2 linked regions of the Mus musculus genome follow. The protein of the gene in region 1 binds, or shares a complex with, the protein of each later gene. Links are inferred from orthologs where the notes say so. Each region holds a gene or a part of one and is shown in the gene's direction. Other genes may lie near its edges. The genes, in order: Ptpn3 and Mapk12.

What was found.
Region 2: the proteins of Ptpn3 (region 1) and Mapk12 are in contact, whole or in part, in a crystal structure (PDB 4QUM), measured with the Homo sapiens proteins. The link is inferred for Mus musculus from reciprocal best matches to the Homo sapiens genes PTPN3 and MAPK12. Residues at the interface, in NP_002820.3 of Homo sapiens: Arg655, Leu671, Asn674, Arg675, Tyr676, Lys677, Asp678, Val679, Arg751, His812, Ser843, Ala844, Gly845, Ile846, Gly847, Arg848, Met883, Gln886, Thr887; in NP_002960.2 of Homo sapiens: Met182, Thr183, Gly184, Tyr185, Val186, Val187, Arg189.

What each region holds. Positions count from the first base shown.
Region 1 is NC_000070.6:57,297,501-57,301,860, reverse strand, and holds the start of Ptpn3 (tyrosine-protein phosphatase non-receptor type 3), read left to right. Parts: upstream 1-1,491; 5' UTR 1,492-1,580; exon of another isoform or gene 1,581-2,122; intron 2,123-4,360.
Region 2 is NC_000081.6:89,133,998-89,137,802, reverse strand, and holds part of Mapk12 (mitogen-activated protein kinase 12), read left to right. Parts: intron 1-343; coding exon 344-402; intron 403-2,114; coding exon 2,115-2,226; intron 2,227-2,346; coding exon 2,347-2,376; intron 2,377-2,632; coding exon 2,633-2,680; intron 2,681-3,076; coding exon 3,077-3,191; intron 3,192-3,805. UniProt on the Homo sapiens protein: Serine/threonine kinase which acts as an essential component of the MAP kinase signal transduction pathway.

The sequences.
Region 1 (4,360 bases):
GGGGCCAGGACAGTGCAACCCCTAGGACTCCGGGCTCTGTAGGAATTCCCCGGACGCGAGGTTCTGGCGGCGCCTGCAGCGGTGCACTACCTTGGGACAGAGACCGGGATCTAAGCCAGGAAGTCAGGCACGGCTGAGGGTCTCGTGGTGACATGGGAACAAAAGGTTCTCGGGATATCTAGCACCCAGGTCCGACCATAGAATCCTAACCATCTCTCCATCCTTTTGTTATCATATTCATTCAACAAAACGTTTTTAGTTCTTACTGGAAGCCAAGCGTCGTTTAGAGGCTGGGTCTCTTGAGAGGCGGAGTTACCGAGCTGACACAGAGGGGAGGTACTCCTTAAGGGGGAAATCTAAGTCGCGAGAGACAGCCGGCAACATACTCCAGCAGCCCCTCCGCTCGCCCTTCCGTTTCACGGGCACAAAGCTTGCGCTCGTTTTGTTTTGAGGTTTTTTTGTTTTTGTTTTTGTTTTGTTTTTGCACCGGCTTTATCGTCCCAAGAAAGCTTCCTTGTTTAGCTGCGTGACTGAATGGTATTTGTCACCTGATCTGGTTGTTCCACCAGCTCTCACCGGGCCACCCCCTATCTTTCTTGCCTGGCTCCTTTCCCCTGTTCTTAGAATTTATCACCTAATACCCTGCGTTGTTTACGGACCTGTTGTTTGTTGCGAGAAAGTCCCTTCTAAACTCCCAACAAGGGGCAGAGATTTTGTCTATATATTAAGTGTGAAGAACGTAAGTAACTGTTGAATGGATAAGTGATACATGCTTGGAGTGCGGTAATGGACTTGGAGAGGGAGCAAGAGGTCAGGGCTAATTTAGAAAGGTAGCCAGAAAGGTCTCTCCTACAAGAGGCACCTGAATGGTGAGAGGGCTCGAAACACCAGCAAAGCAGGGCAAAAGACGTCCTACCTCGAGGGAAAGGCAGTGTAAAGGTCTCCAGGCGGGTCAAGTTCAGAGGGTATGATGGGGAGGAAGGTGCAGTCGGAGCGCAGGAAGACAGGTGTGGGAGGAGGCGGAAGAGGCCGGCTGGAACGCCCGCCACTAGGGGCCCTATAGGCTTTGGGAAGGGCTAACCTGCCTGGTGTCCTAGGACCAGCAAAGGAGCCCTGCGACCCCCAACTCAGCCACGGAGCCGCTGGAGTCAGCGAGACCCCCAACTCAGCCACGAAGCCACCGCGCAAGGCTCGCTGTCATTTCAGATTCGTTGAGCGCCAAGCCCTTGCCATTCTTAGGCATGCAATCCGGGAAAGCCAGGCACACAGTAGGTGTTCAATAAATGCTAAAAGCACGAATGGCTGCGTGCGTGAGCCAGGGGACCTGGAGGTCTGCGGGAGTTTGGCAGGTGGTCTGCGGAGGCCAGTGGCAGCGTCCCACGAGTTTGCCCCGGGCCCGCCCCTGTCCCGGGTCCCCCGCCCCGCGCGCGGGCCCGTCGCGGCCACAGCCGGGCCGGCGGGAGCCGCCCGCGGGCTGCACTGGGCATGCTCAGACGGCGGCCAGGTCGCGGCGCGAGCGAGCTTCAGTGCCGCCCGCCCGCGCGACCTACCTGGGCGCCCCGCGCCCCCGGATGCTGCAGGTATGGGAGACTGGGTCCTCTGCGGGGAGGGTCGGAGCGCGGGCTGCTGCGATCGCGGACACGCGGGGCTTACCCAACCCCCACCCGGTCCGGGGCTCGGCGGACACGCGGGAGGACTAGCGGTTGAGCTGGTAGCCCCAGGTCTCCGCGCCACGTCGGGCATCCGGGGGGCGCAGGCCCGGATCACCTGGCGGGGCTGGGGCGGGGCGCGGGCGTGGGCGGCAAAAGGCTGGGCGTTCTGGACGCAGCGGCGCGGGCGTGGGCGTGCGCTCCAGTCTGGCCGAGCCCTGGGCTTGGCGCCGAGGTATCCGCAGCCCGGCAGAGGGGGCGCACCGCTGCGGGGATCCAGCTCTCCGCGGTCCCCGAAGCTCAGCCACCCGGGGCGAATTCCCCTTCAGATTGCAAAGATGGCATTTCCTGGGCCTGGCACGAACTCCAGTGCCAAACCAATCCGCCCCGTTCCGCGGGCGACCGGGGTGGCTTCTCTGGTAACTTGCGGTGTGACACTGCTGCGTTGTGCAGGGAGAGAGCGCGCCCGGAAACCCCCGCCCCCGGTTGCTGCCTCCTAAACTTATTACGAACTTGAGGGTTGCCTTTAAAAAATTCATGAGAAGTTAAGATAACTTGACACCTGGGTGTTCCGTGAAGGTACAGGGAACTTGTGGTTGGGAAACTCTAGACCTAGGTTCAAGTTGGGCTCTTCCCCTTGGCCAGCTGGTGACCTTGGACGAGTCGTTTAACCTCTCTGATCCTCCATTTCCTCCACTGCACGCAGGCAGCAATAATGCCCACCTCGCCTGGTTGGTGGTGGATTAAGTAGGATAAATGGTGTGGAGGTGTTTGGCTCCGTGCCCGGCATAAAGCAAGCGAGCAGTTGGCGTGATGTGATTTTAATTCAGTTAGAGACCCTCATGGCTCCCATTTTGTCAGGAAGGTAGAATTAGGCAGTCATTTTCTGGGTCTGTGTTTGTGCCCAGGAGAACGTCTGCTGAGGCTTTGAAAAAAGCAACTCCACAGAGCGGTGGTGAGCTGCTCTTGTTTAATGGCAGTCTTTGTGAGTTCCGAAACTCCAGAAGTTGACACTCGGGCCTCACAGAAAGAACTATTTTTGCAAGATGATCCATCTTGCAAATGTCGAAGCGGATGAATTGGAAATCCTGGTTGGGAAAAAGATGCATATTCTGCAAAGCTCTCATGCTTAACCTTATGTTTTTGGATTGGGGAGCGGGGGTCTCTTAGCTTCTCACAGCGGGTTTGATCGTTCTTTGTGGTGGCTGCTCCTTGTGCATTACAGAGTGCCCAAAAGCCTCTGCTCAGTAGGTTCCAGTAGCAGCCTGCTTCCGACCGTGCCTACCAGGAATGCCTCTATATAGTGTCTGGGTTGAAGTGCCTCACCACCTCCACCCCTCCCCCACCCCACCCCCCGTGTCGTCCCTCTTTCCCCTTTTAGTAGAATTAACTGAGTGAGATAGCCTCCGCCTTCTGTGTAACCTAGGCTAAATGAGGATTTCATCTGGACTTTTGTTTTCTTTTTTTTCAATGATAATATCGAACCTTTGCAGTCACCTTGCAGAGCTGTGCTAGGTATGTGGACTATCTCATTTCAGTTTTACAGGTCTCCCTCTGAGACTGGTGTCACGATCCCATTTTATAGAGGAAGACATTGAGGCTCTGAGCAGGCAACTGTACCGTCCTGGGTATGACTGGGATGGAGGAAACCATGCTTCTGGTTCTGGGGGCAGAGCTTTTTCTTCTGGATAAGACTGCCATGTGTGTCTTACACAGATGTCTTTCCCGATGATTAAATCAAGATCTAGATTGTATTGGAAAACGGAAGCCTTCCTGAGATTGACTAGTTGAAAATTAACAATGGTAAGCTATTTTCTGACTGAGAGTAGGCCATTCTAGTTAAATATTCTAGTATATGAGCGCTCCCATAAATCCCAGCACACAGTTAATGGAATACCAGTCTGCCGAGAATTAGAATAGAATAAAACATGCCTATTACTCTATATTGATCTGTGTTGTCCCTGGTGATTTGTCTCATCCACAGACTAGTGTATGCAAATTAGACCTGAGTGGCAGACTGGAGGTTACTGAGGGCATTTAGAAGAGCTGAGGCATGTCTATGAGCAGATGTTTCTGTTTGCAGATGCAGGGCTGTGGGTAGGCAAACATGGTGAATAAGCCAAGGGACCCCCCCCCCCAACCTGGAATCCAGGGTATCTTTCATCCAGCTCAGGTCAGATCTGTAATGGGCCTTAGTGTGACTCTGGACTCCCAGCTAACCAAGATCTCAGCTTGAAGCCCTCACTTTACCTGATCTCACAGCAAAGGTGTGGTAGTTTTTAATATGTTTGTTGAGGTCTCGACTCCCTGCCAGTAAGACAAGGTCAGAGACAGATCTTATCCCAGAAAGAAATCGAGGTTGTAGGTTGGCCGTTGGTCTCAGTCCTGGGATGGGAATTGCTCTCAGTTTTTGTTGGCTGTGACCTGGAAGTTTAATTACAGTGTTGTGCCCTCCCCTCCAACACACACCACACATATGTGAGCTGGCAAAGGCAGTGAGAACAGAAGTAAGAGGACTCATTGTGGCCGTCTAAGCTACATACAGGTCTGTGGGTGCAAGAGGCACTGTTTTCTAAGATGGGTCTAACTTGCTGGAGGAGCCCAAAGACGTGGCATACACTCTTCCCTTTCAGTTCCCAGGGACTGGCATGTTGGGAAGGGATCGGTGATTTGTGGTCCCCCCTCTCGACCATAATTACAGGGCTCACTCT
Region 2 (3,805 bases), on another chromosome or scaffold:
TTGGGAAGAAAAAAAGTGTGTGTGTGTGGTGGGGGGGATGGGGAGACAGGGGAGACAGAAGACTAAGGGGACCGGATTGCTCAGAGGCCTGGAGCCAACCCAGACCTGAGACTGCCCCTCCCCCCACCCCCTGAGAATCCCGGCTGTCAGCCTCCAAAAATAGCCTGTGTCTGTGGGCAAATGTACCAGGATGGGGGCTGAGCCGACAGTGGAGACAGTAGAGGAGACAGGGATAGTTATGGGAGGGAGGATTTTCAGCCTGGAGTACAGTGCCATCCCGGGGGTGCACTGAGGCCCTGCAGCTCCCGTGTGCTCTCTATCCCGTCTGCTACTTGTTCTTCAGGTCATTGGGCTACTGGATGTGTTCACACCTGATGAGTCTCTGGACGACTTCACAGACTTGTAAGTGCTAGTGGCTGAGAGGGTGGCAGGAACCTGGGTGGCTTCTCGGTGTCAGCTTAAGATCCTGGGTCAGGTTGAGGACCTTCTCCCCATAGCCCAGCGGTTCTCAACCTTCCCAATGCTGTGACCCTTTAATACAGTTTCTCATGTCCTGGTGGCCCCCCCAGCCAGAAGATTGTTTAGTTGCTACTTCATAATGGTACTTTTTTTTTTGGGGGGGGGGGTCCGAGACAGGGTTTCTCTGTGTAGCCCTGGCTGTCCTGGAACTCACTCTGTAGACCAGGCTGGCCTCGAACTCAGAAATCCGCCTGCCTCTGCCTCCCAAGTGCTGGGATTAAAGGCGTGCGCCACCACTGCCCTGCATAACTGTACTTTTGCTACTGATAGAAATTGTATTAGAAATGATATGTAGGATATCTGATAAGGGACAAGCCCCCCTCCCCCCAGGGAGTCATAGCCCATGTAAGGAATAGGGTGCACACTGCCCACCCACTCCTCTTACCACAGTCTATACCCCACTCCTATATGCTCCTGGGAGCCATGAACTTGTGTGAGTGATAATACCATTTTTCCTTGTGTATCCCTCCATCTATCTTAACATCCCTCTGACCTAGATGCCTTGCCGCTCCAACCCCTGCCCCATATTCCTGGTTACCCTATGTGTGGCAGGAGGGGCCTAGGCAGCTCCTGGGTACCAGCTTCAGGTTCTAAGTTGGCTTGAGTTCTTCTTCCCATGGCCCAAGTGAGGACTGAGATGTATACCTGCTCATTCACATCTCATCATAACCCATGTACTATTGGTAACCCCTGGATACTGGGATGCCCTAGTAAAGCCAGACTGTCTATCCTTCTAAGCCTGGGGAGTTTTGGGTCCTCACAGTGCCTGAGGTATTGGTATAACTAAGCAATCTAAGGTGCCAATATCAGGTGCAGCCTCAGCCGCTCACCCTGCATGTTGGGAATTTTAAAACCCTGAGGTGGCCTGTGGTGGCACACACACTTGCAATCCCAGCATTTGGGAGATAGAGCTAGGAGGGACAGGATTCCAAGGCTATTTTGGCCTGCCTGAGACCCTCTCTCCAAAAACAAAAGCAAGGGCTGGAGAGATGGTTCAGTGGTTAAGAGCCCTGACTGCTCTTCCAAGAGCACGTGGGTTTGATTCCCAGCGCCTATCTGGTAGCTCACAGCTTCTGCAACTCTAGTCCCAGAAGAGTTGATATCATCTTTTGGTCTCTGTGAGCACTGTACATGGCGTGGTCCACGGATACACGTGGAGGCAAAGCATCCAAAAAATAAAATAAAGACAAGACAAGGCTGATGGTAGTGGTGCAAGCCTTTAATTCCAGCACTTAGATGACAGAGGTAGAGGCAGATAGCTCTCTTTGAATTTGAGGCCATCCTGGTCTACACGGTGAGTTTCAGGCCAGACAGGACTGCAGAGTGAGACCTTTCCTCAAAAACAAACAGAGAGCCCTCAAACCCAAACAAAATACCCCTGACACACAGCCCACTCCTTGCTTGCCGTTCTGGAAAGAGGGGATGTGGGCATGGGTTGAGAGGTGTAATTGTCAAGGACAGTGTGCCCAGAGGGTGGGTTGTGGTCTAGCACGGCATGGTAGGGGTAGAAACATCATAGGATGGTATGACCCCCCCCCCCCCATTGCTAGTGATGAATGGACACTCTAGGGTAATGATTTGGTGGGCTTCTGCAGCTACCTGGTGATGCCATTCATGGGCACTGATCTGGGCAAACTCATGAAGCATGAGACCCTGAGTGAAGACAGAATCCAGTTTCTTGTGTATCAGATGTTGAAGGGGCTGAAGGTAGGCTTTGCAGAGGTGGCCATAGGGAGGCGGACAGAGCTTCCCGTTTGGGCAGGGTAAGGGCTCTGTGGCTTGGAGTATCCCTGAGCTGACTGCTGCTGAACTCTTTCTTTCCCCCAGTATATCCATGCGGCTGGTGTCATCCACAGAGTGAGTCCTGGCGGGGCTGGGAGATTGCAGCTGGGCTCCTCTCCAGCTGTGTAGACAGATGTGCTCAACCCCAGTGCCCATGGCTTAACTATGAAGGGCAAGATAGGTCTGTGGTGGGGATGCTTTCCCTGGGGACCAGGAAAGCCCCTCTTGCTCTTCCCCAGAGGGACCAGGCCAGTTTTAGGTGGCCCTAATAATGTGCAGCCTGAGCCCTGCTCTGGCAGGTGGGTCATAGTGGCCACCTTTCTTCTCTCAGGACTTGAAGCCTGGCAACCTGGCTGTGAATGAGGACTGTGAGCTGAAGGTATCGCTGGGAGGGGAAGATGACCACGGAAGGGGTTGGGGGACCCCTTCTACTTCCCCTATGGGTCTGCTTGACCCTTGGCCGAGGCAAAGGGACAGAACTCAGACATTTGTGCAGAGGCTGAGCAGCTATTAGGCAAAGAGTGGCTGAATATCCCTAGTCACTCAGGGCTCCTAAAGGTGATTAGGGGACGGTGAAACAGAAGAAAACCTTTGGCATTTGACCTGAGGTGGGTAGGGCCAGGTGTACTGACCACAGGGAGAATCCTGGGGGCGCAAGACCAAAGGGTGGCAAACAGTTTAGCGTAGAAACTCAAGCCCAGCTCTCTTAAGGTCTTCTGGACCATATCTGGTCTATCCTCAGTGTCTAAGTTCCACCTCCTCGATACTTCTTTAGATCCTAGACTTTGGCCTTGCCAGGCAGGCAGACAGTGAGATGACAGGATATGTGGTAACCCGGTGGTATCGGGCACCAGAGGTCATCTTGAATTGGATGCGCTACACGCAGACAGGTAAGAGGCTATCCAGAGACTCCAGTGCACACCATCCACATTTACACATTCATTGTATTTTAAAATTATTTTTGTAGTATCGGGGATGGAACCCAGAGTCTTATTCATGCTAGACAAATGTCCTGTCACTGAGTTACATCTCAGTCCGTCTGTCTGTCTGTCTGTCTGTCTGTCTGTCTTTCTTTCTTTCTTTCTTTCTTTCTTTCTTTCTTTCTTTCTTTCTTTCTTTCTTTCTTTCTTTCGTTCTTTCTTCCTTCCTTCCTTCCTTCCTTCCTTCCTTCCTTCCTTTCTCTTCCTTCTTCCTTCCTTCCTTCCTTCCTTCCTTCCTTCCTTCCTCCCTCCCTCCCTCCCTCCCTCCCTCCCTCCCTCTCTCTCTCTCTCTCTCTCTTTCTTTCTTTCTTTCTTTCTTTCTCTCCTTCCTTCCTTCCTTCTTTTTGAGAAAGAATATATATGTGTATGTATGTATATGTATATTTGGTATGGTTTGGTTGCTTTGAAGACAGGGTCTTACTATATAGCTCTGGCTATTTCTGGAACTCTCTGTAGGCCAGGCTGGCCTCGAACTCACAGAGATCCACTTGCCTCTGCCTCCTTCCTTCCTTCCTTCCTTCCTT